2 linked regions of the Nothobranchius furzeri genome follow. The protein of the gene in region 1 interacts with the protein of each later gene in a pairwise test. Links are inferred from orthologs where the notes say so. Each region holds a gene or a part of one and is shown in the gene's direction. Other genes may lie near its edges.

Region 1 (3,652 bases):
CAGAGAAACCTAAATGGTCATCAGGGCAGCCACAACCCCAGCCCCCCTCATCGCCGGCTCTCGGTGAATCCAGACGGATCAACGGGAAATCAGAGCGAGGCACGAAGCGCAGCTCGAAGAACAAAGCCTCTGACAAGGCCGCGACAGACTCTGTGTGTGTGAGAAGTGGAGCTGGAGACGGCTCAAACATTAGCGTCAAGTCTAAGACCGTCACAAACGTTACCCAGCAACTGCAGGAGTCTGGTGCCAAGCGAACTAGCGTACCGCTGTCCAAGGTGAGAGAGGGTGAAGAAATGGACCCAGCGTCTGTCAGGTCTACAAACGTGGAAGCCCCTCCTTCACACCTAACCACCGTCCAGAGCTTGCGTACACACAGTCATGGAGACAACAGAGTGGAGGCGCGGGGCAGTAGGGAGGACCTGGACCTGGACGAGACAGCCAGCAGGACTCGGGTAAGATCCAGTCTCTTATCCTGTGTTGCATCATTGCTTTGAGTTTCGTCTAAACTTACCAGTTGATAATTAGAATACTGAGAGAAAATGGTGCTGAATGGTCGACCAGATCTCCGTGACCATCTCCCGCTAGCTGCCGCCGGCTGCTCGTCACCGCAGTTGGCGGAAGCTATGGGAGCGGGGACCGTGTGATCTGGCTGAGGAGGAGCTTGTTCCTAAAACTGAAGACAGTAGCGTCGAGTCAAAGTAACACAAGCAGACTTTATACAGAACCCGGCAACTGAAATGTGACCCTTTTCAAGTGAAGCACGCTCTTTGTGATATTCATATTTAAATATAAACGATTCAGATATTTAGTTTGTGTCACATTCACTGTGTCGCAGTCCTTGGGCAAGGCACCTAATCCTCGCTGCCTGCTGGTGGTGGTCGGAGGGCCCGGGCGGTGGCATCCGTGTACCGCAACCTCGCTTTTGTCAGTGTGTCCCGGGTCATCTGTGGCTGATCAGCAGCAGTGTGTGTGTGTGTGTGAACGACTGGTGTGTTGTAAAGTGCCTTGGGGGGGTCATAGGACTCTAGAAAGTGCTATATAAATACAGACCATTCACCAAATACTTTGTGTTTGCAGGAAATTCTAGTTGTCTAGGGCCACGTTCACACTGCAGGTCATAATGCTCATATCTGATTTTTTTAAATAAATCCAATTTTTTGCGTGGTTGTTCACATTATAACTGAAATGCGACAGCAAACACCCCAGTATGGACAGTTCACAACCCCGAAGCGGCTCGCGAGGGCAGCAGCAGAGCGCTCAGTGGAGTCAGAATCAGGAGGCGTGGAGTTGTGATGTGAAAGACGAAAGAAAGTCTCGTTTAGGGCTGGAAACCATTTTTAAACTATAAACTGGGTTGGTGTTCCAGGGTTTCCCCCAGAAAAGGAGTTAAGCCTGGCAGAGGAGGGGGGCGGGGCATGACGCTTAGCCTGGCGGGTGGCCGAGCAAAGCCTGGCGCTGGGTGAAACCCTGTGTTCCTGTTTTTAGTTGATTCATAGAGGGCTGCTCTCACGTAGGCCAGAGAGGCGCATCGCACCAGCACCAAATCACGACAAGAGTCGTCTCGAGGCTCTTCACAAAGTAAACATTTCAGCTCATTAAGCCAGTGAGTTAAAAGTGTCCTGTATAAGTAACCCAGCAGGTTGCTTCAAGTCACCGACTAGTGTCAGAGTCTTTACAGCAATTTTCATACTAAGCAAGCATGTAGCGACGATGGAGAGGAAAACTCCCTTTTAACAGGAAGAAACCTCCAGAGCACCTCCTGCTCTCATACTTAACAGGATGTCCAGTCATGTAACGTCAACACATGGCGCTCACCTCTGCTGACTCGGTGACGTAGGAGGCAGATTTAATACTTAAGAATCGGATGTGATACACCTTTGCCTGCAGTGTGAACGTAGCCTTATTATACTTTTATTCCTGACTGTTGTGCAATCTTAAAGTGTTTAGTAATTAGACTTTTTCCTTTAAGCAGCAATCAAAGATAATTGCATTGAATGGGTTCAGTGGAATCGTGCTGCCAGAAACGCTGGCTGTGGAGCGGTTATGCTGCCCCAGCACCCAGCTCTAATAGAGGGTAATTATGTGTAACAGTTCCTTTTTCTGTACCAGGTGTCAGATAAAACAAACCAATCATCAGAAACGTCTGAAGCAACAGAACAAGTCCGCGATGGCCAGCCCGTTCCTCCCGTCATCGATCACTCCCTCAGACCCACCGACTCGAGCCATAAAGTGGACGCTACTTCCCTCCAAATGCAGGGGGACCGGACAGACTCATCACCACACAGAAAAGCTGCTGAACATGAATCAGGACAGGAGGCTTTAATCTCACAGCAACATGAAGACTCAACAGAGATGCTTTCAGCTCCAGCTGCCTGTGTGGCTGCCAGGCAAAGCTGGGATGGGGAGGAGAAGCAGGACCAGTCTAAAGAAGAAGCCCCTCTGGAGATGATGCAACAACAAGGTTAGTGAGGGTGTTTTAGTGGACGCCGTTTGTTTGTATTTTTGTTTAATCATGCACGGGATGATGGGAAATCACCGGGTAACATTTCTGCACCGTAGTAAATCAAATCTGACTTTTCTGCAGAGCCCATGGTGAACCTGCAGGCTGTAAAGAACGACTCGTATGAGAAGGGCACAGACCTGATGGTGGTGAACGTTTACCTTAAGGGGGTCTGCAGAGACACCGCCAGGGTCATCTTCAGAGAGCAAGACTTTACGCTCATCTTTCAGACCAGGTAGCAAACACAAGCACCGCTCAAGGGCTTTATTACCATCAAACTATCAGTAGCTGATCTGATTTATCTTTTAACAGCGACAGAAACTTTCTCCGGCTTCATCCTGACTGTGGGCCAAACACGGTCTTCAAGTGGCAAGTCAAACTCAGGTAACATGTTTATGTTTATTTATTTAGCAGACGCTTTTATCCATAGTGACTTATTTACACATGTGCAGATGGATAGAAACGCTAGCAGTAGTTTGCTTGTTGTGTATTAAAACAGCTGATTACATCAAAGTATTCAGGGCAGGTCCTCCAGTGAAAGGCAGCGCTGCTCTCAGATCAGTTTCAGCAGCTGGCTCATGCTGCTATGTCTGCTCCTCTAATTTGGCCTGAATGTATTTTGGTCTGTTGTGTGTCAGGAACCTGATCCAGCCCGAGCACTGCAGCTACTCCTTCACCCCGTCCCGCCTCGACATCACCCTGAAAAAGAGACACAGCCAGCGCTGGGGGGCTCTAGAGGCCCCGGCCACACAAGGTCTGCTGCCAGGTTTCTATTTGGAGGACTTTATTCTTTTTTTCTATCCCCCACACACTAAAGGTTTTCTGTTCACATGGAACGTGGAATAAGGGGCTCAGAGCTGGTGTTAGGTCTCTACACCTGCAGCATGTTTGATTTTGTACAGAACTGATTAAAGTTTATTTATGAGGACACGGTTATCAAGGTTTCATATGCTAGTCAGAGGTTTTGTGTTTGGGGACTGAAGTACACCCAAGGAACAAGATATGGGCGTGTTGTTAAAGACCAAGTTCACCGACAAACCGTTTTTTATCATTTTTGAAACATGATCGGTCACTCTGAGTTTAACATGCAGACTAAAAGTGAAAATGGTCTTCTACCCAGAGATGGGAACCTTTGACATTTGAATCGATGCG
Region 2 (3,652 bases), on another chromosome or scaffold:
CAATGGCTGAAGGTGGAATATAAACGTTTGCCAAGACAACACTGGTGAACTCTCTTGGCAAATAATATGGGCGACAACTTACTGCCTAGTGTTCAACATCTGGGCTGCAGAGACGACATTTCACTGAAACATGACCTGGATGGCACCATCTGTTGTTGAAAAGCACTGCCACTCCACCTCGTTTTCTTTTCCTGCTCCTCTACAGATCTCCGTCTGCTCGTACCATCAGGAATCCTGGCAGAGAGACGCTGGAATCGGGTATATGGTCCTGCAGTCATGTCTCAGTGAAACACATAACACTGCACTGCCGATACTCTGGCTGAGTCCTTGAAAGGGCTTGGAGTTCATCCATCTTGTTGGCCAGTGATCTCACATTTTCCATTACGATCGATGGAAGAGATGGTTTGAATTTCCTCTTTATCTCCGTTTTGCTCCCGCTCTTCACCCACGCTTCTTGCGTTTTAGCTCATTTGGGATTTGTGGCTTCAGTTGAGGTATTATTTCAGCCTTTCCAATGATAATCCGCTGCTCCCGATTGTAAACCAGCTTGTTGCCATGGTTACACATAATAACAAATGCTCAAAAAGTGAAAAAATAGCAGTAAAAATCCTCCAAGCTTCACAGCACCAGAAACAGAAAAGTAAAATGTCCAAAAAAATAGTTTTTCTTGAGAAACTACAAGAAAATGGGAATAATATATATATTTAAACAAGACGGTTATTATTATTGTCAACTTTTTTACCGGGGTTTACCGCTACACCGGTTACCGTGACAACCCTAGTTATGAGTAACTAATAATTAGTCATCTTTATTAGTCACAAAAAACTATTCATGTTCATGGCTAACTAATAACTTGTCTTATTAATGAGAAATTAATAATAGTCTAGTTTTTTAGTAACTAAAAACTATTCCTGTTTATGAGTTTTAATAACTAGCCCTGTTCATGGCTAACTAATAATTAACGTTAGTTCATTTTTATAGCAGCAGTCGGAACATCTCAGGTTAAATAGAAGCTCAGGAGGAAGTCTGAACGTTTTTATCTTGGAGTGTTGCTGAAGCTGCTCCGTCTTTTCCATCCTGCTGCAGTATTCATCAGCCGGCTGCCAGCTGTCGCTCCACCACAGCGAGAAACCTGACCATGAGGAGGTTTGTGAGTTCAGACCCTACACCTGTCCGTGTCCCGGAGCAACGTGCAAGTGGCACGGCTCACTGGAGGCCGTCATGCCTCACCTGATGCACGCCCACAAGTCCATCACCACACTACAGGTCAGAACCCTCAGCCCCCGACAGGACCTCTGACCCTGACTTCATGATTCTGTGTGTGAATCCTCTGACCAGGATTTCAGAATCCTGAACTTTGGTTACGTATTGTAACCCCAGATTCTATTAGTCTAGTTGCAGCCCTTAAGCTAGCTGCTATTGGAAGGATGATCTCAGCATCAGCCAATCATGAAGAGCTTAAATGTACGCCCACCAATGGTGGGCACCCCTTGTGGGTATATAAGTGGAGCAACTCCACTGTTCGCCTCCAATGGCTCTTAGTCCTAACAGAACCAGTGGGTACAGTGGCTTAAGGGCTGCAACTAGACTCATAGAATCTGGGGTTACAATACGTAACCAACGCTCTATTTCGTCTAGTCTTAGCCCTTAAGCTAGCTGCTATTGGAATAATGCGCAGCTAGATTGGTTTACGCCACACTGGTTAGCTCAACCAATGGACACACGCAACATGTCTCCTTTTAGTGAGGGACGCTCAGCCGCAGCCCAGGGCTTAAAAGCCTGAGGCAACCAGAGAGAAGAGTGGGGCCCCACTAAAATTATCATCCACAAGAGGATGAAATTCATTCAAGTAGGGCTGATGTGGTGCCATAATGCCTTCACTCAGCCTGCTGAGGTCCAAGCACTGAACAAGTGATGGAGCCTGAAGACACATCTCGTGAGTAATAACGAGTAAAGGAACAGGGAGAACCCCATGAAGCAGCCTGACAAATGTCTTCCATCGACACACCACTGTGGAGCGCCATAGAAGAGGAAATCTCAGGAGGATCCCGCCCTGATGATGTGTAAGCGAGTGAAATGGCGTCACAAAGCCAGTGTGAAAGACGCTGGGTCGACAGCGCTTGCCCAAGGGAAGAATCTCTGTAGTGCACAAACAGGCTTTGTGAGCAGCAAATCCCTGAAGTGCGTGACACATGTCGTGCGAGCGCGCGCACCGGGCAGAGAAGGTGGGAAGCCGCATCCTCATCAAAATTATGGGGAGGAGGAAAAAGTCCAGCCAATGAAATTGACCTGGATTTGAAGGAAGCATTAATGTTTTTGGGCACAAAGGCTGGGTTGGGGCATAAAACCGCAGACCCGCCATCTTCCCGGATCCTGAGGCATGCGGGAGCCACTGAGGGCGGTTAGGTCGCTCACTCTCTTGACTGATGCCAGCGCCAGCAGCAAGGCAGTTTTGAGTGACAGGAACTTGAGTGAGACCTGGTCCAAGGGTTCAAATGGGGCTTCAGATAAGCCACGCAGAACCACCGTTAGGTCCCACTGGGGAAATAGTGGGCGGGACACAGGTCTGTTCCTTCTGACACCTTTTAGAAAATGCTTTGTGAGGGGATGATTGAAAACAGATCTATCTCCAAAACCCTGGTGACAGGATGAGATAGATGCAGCATATGTTTTAATAGTGCTGAATGTGAGGCCCCTGTCCATCAGTATCTGCAGAAACAATAGGACATCCGCCAGCTGGCAGGAGAGCGCTTGAACATTTCGCTCCGTGCACCAGTTCTGGAAAGCTGCCCATTTAGCAGCATAAGATGCGACGGTAGGGGGCGCCCGCGCACTCTGAATCGTGGCCACCACATCATGCGGCAGCCCAGAAGCCTCTAAGCGTGACCGCTCAGCGGCCAGACCTACAGCCGTTGGCCTATTTCTGGAGGATGTTTGATTATCCCATCCGCCTGGAGAAGGGAGTCCGCCCTCCACGGGAGCCTCCACAGGGAGCCGGACACTAGCACTTGCAGGTCTGGAAAACATGACGCGGACAAGCGTCTGGGAGCCATCAGAATTACAGAGAGCTGCTCCGACCGAACTCGGTCCAGGAGACGGGGAATCAGTGGGACTGGCGGAAACGCATATAGGAGTGTTTGAGGCCAGGGCTGGTGTGAGAAGGCGTCCGCTCCGAGCGGGTGGTGGTTCCGGGGACTCAGGGAAAACCACAGGTGACACTGAGCATTTTCGCGAGCCGCGAACAGACCCACCAATGGTTCCCCAAACCTGATCCAGATCTGTGATATCAGTGCGGGATGCAGACGCCAGTCGGAGTCGTGGGGTCCCCCTCTCGACAGGATGTCTGCAGCTACATTCAGGACCCCCAGAATGTAGGTGGCTTTGATGGACAGCAGGTGGACATGTGACCAACACAGTAAATCTGTGGCTACACGCAATAGTGGGAGGGATCGAACTCCACCCGTGGCGATTTATGTAGGCTGCCGCCACCTGGTTGTCTGTGTGAACTTCGACATGACAGCCCTCGAGAAGGGCAGCGAAGTGACTGATCATATTCCTCACTGTCATAAGCTCCAACACATTTATGTGCTCGTGCGTGTGGGGGGGGCAGCGATCTGCCACCGTATGGAACAAGCACGTTCCCCCCCATCCC

The links. The genes of interacting proteins can lie anywhere in the genome.
Region 2: the proteins of usp19 (region 1) and siah2l interact in a two-hybrid assay, tested with the Homo sapiens proteins (2 studies listed by BioGRID). The link is inferred for Nothobranchius furzeri from reciprocal best matches to the Homo sapiens genes USP19 and SIAH2.

Annotation. Positions count from the first base shown.
Region 1 is NC_091755.1:48,418,383-48,422,034, forward strand, and holds part of usp19 (ubiquitin carboxyl-terminal hydrolase 19), read left to right. Parts: coding exon 1-452; intron 453-2,109; coding exon 2,110-2,461; intron 2,462-2,584; coding exon 2,585-2,735; intron 2,736-2,812; coding exon 2,813-2,884; intron 2,885-3,138; coding exon 3,139-3,254; intron 3,255-3,652. UniProt on the Homo sapiens protein: Deubiquitinating enzyme that regulates the degradation of various proteins by removing ubiquitin moieties, thereby preventing their proteasomal degradation. Stabilizes RNF123, which promotes CDKN1B degradation and contributes to cell proliferation.
Region 2 is NC_091750.1:26,755,820-26,759,471, forward strand, and holds part of siah2l (E3 ubiquitin-protein ligase Siah2), read left to right. Parts: intron 1-1,086; coding exon 1,087-1,266; intron 1,267-3,652. UniProt on the Homo sapiens protein: E3 ubiquitin-protein ligase that mediates ubiquitination and subsequent proteasomal degradation of target proteins.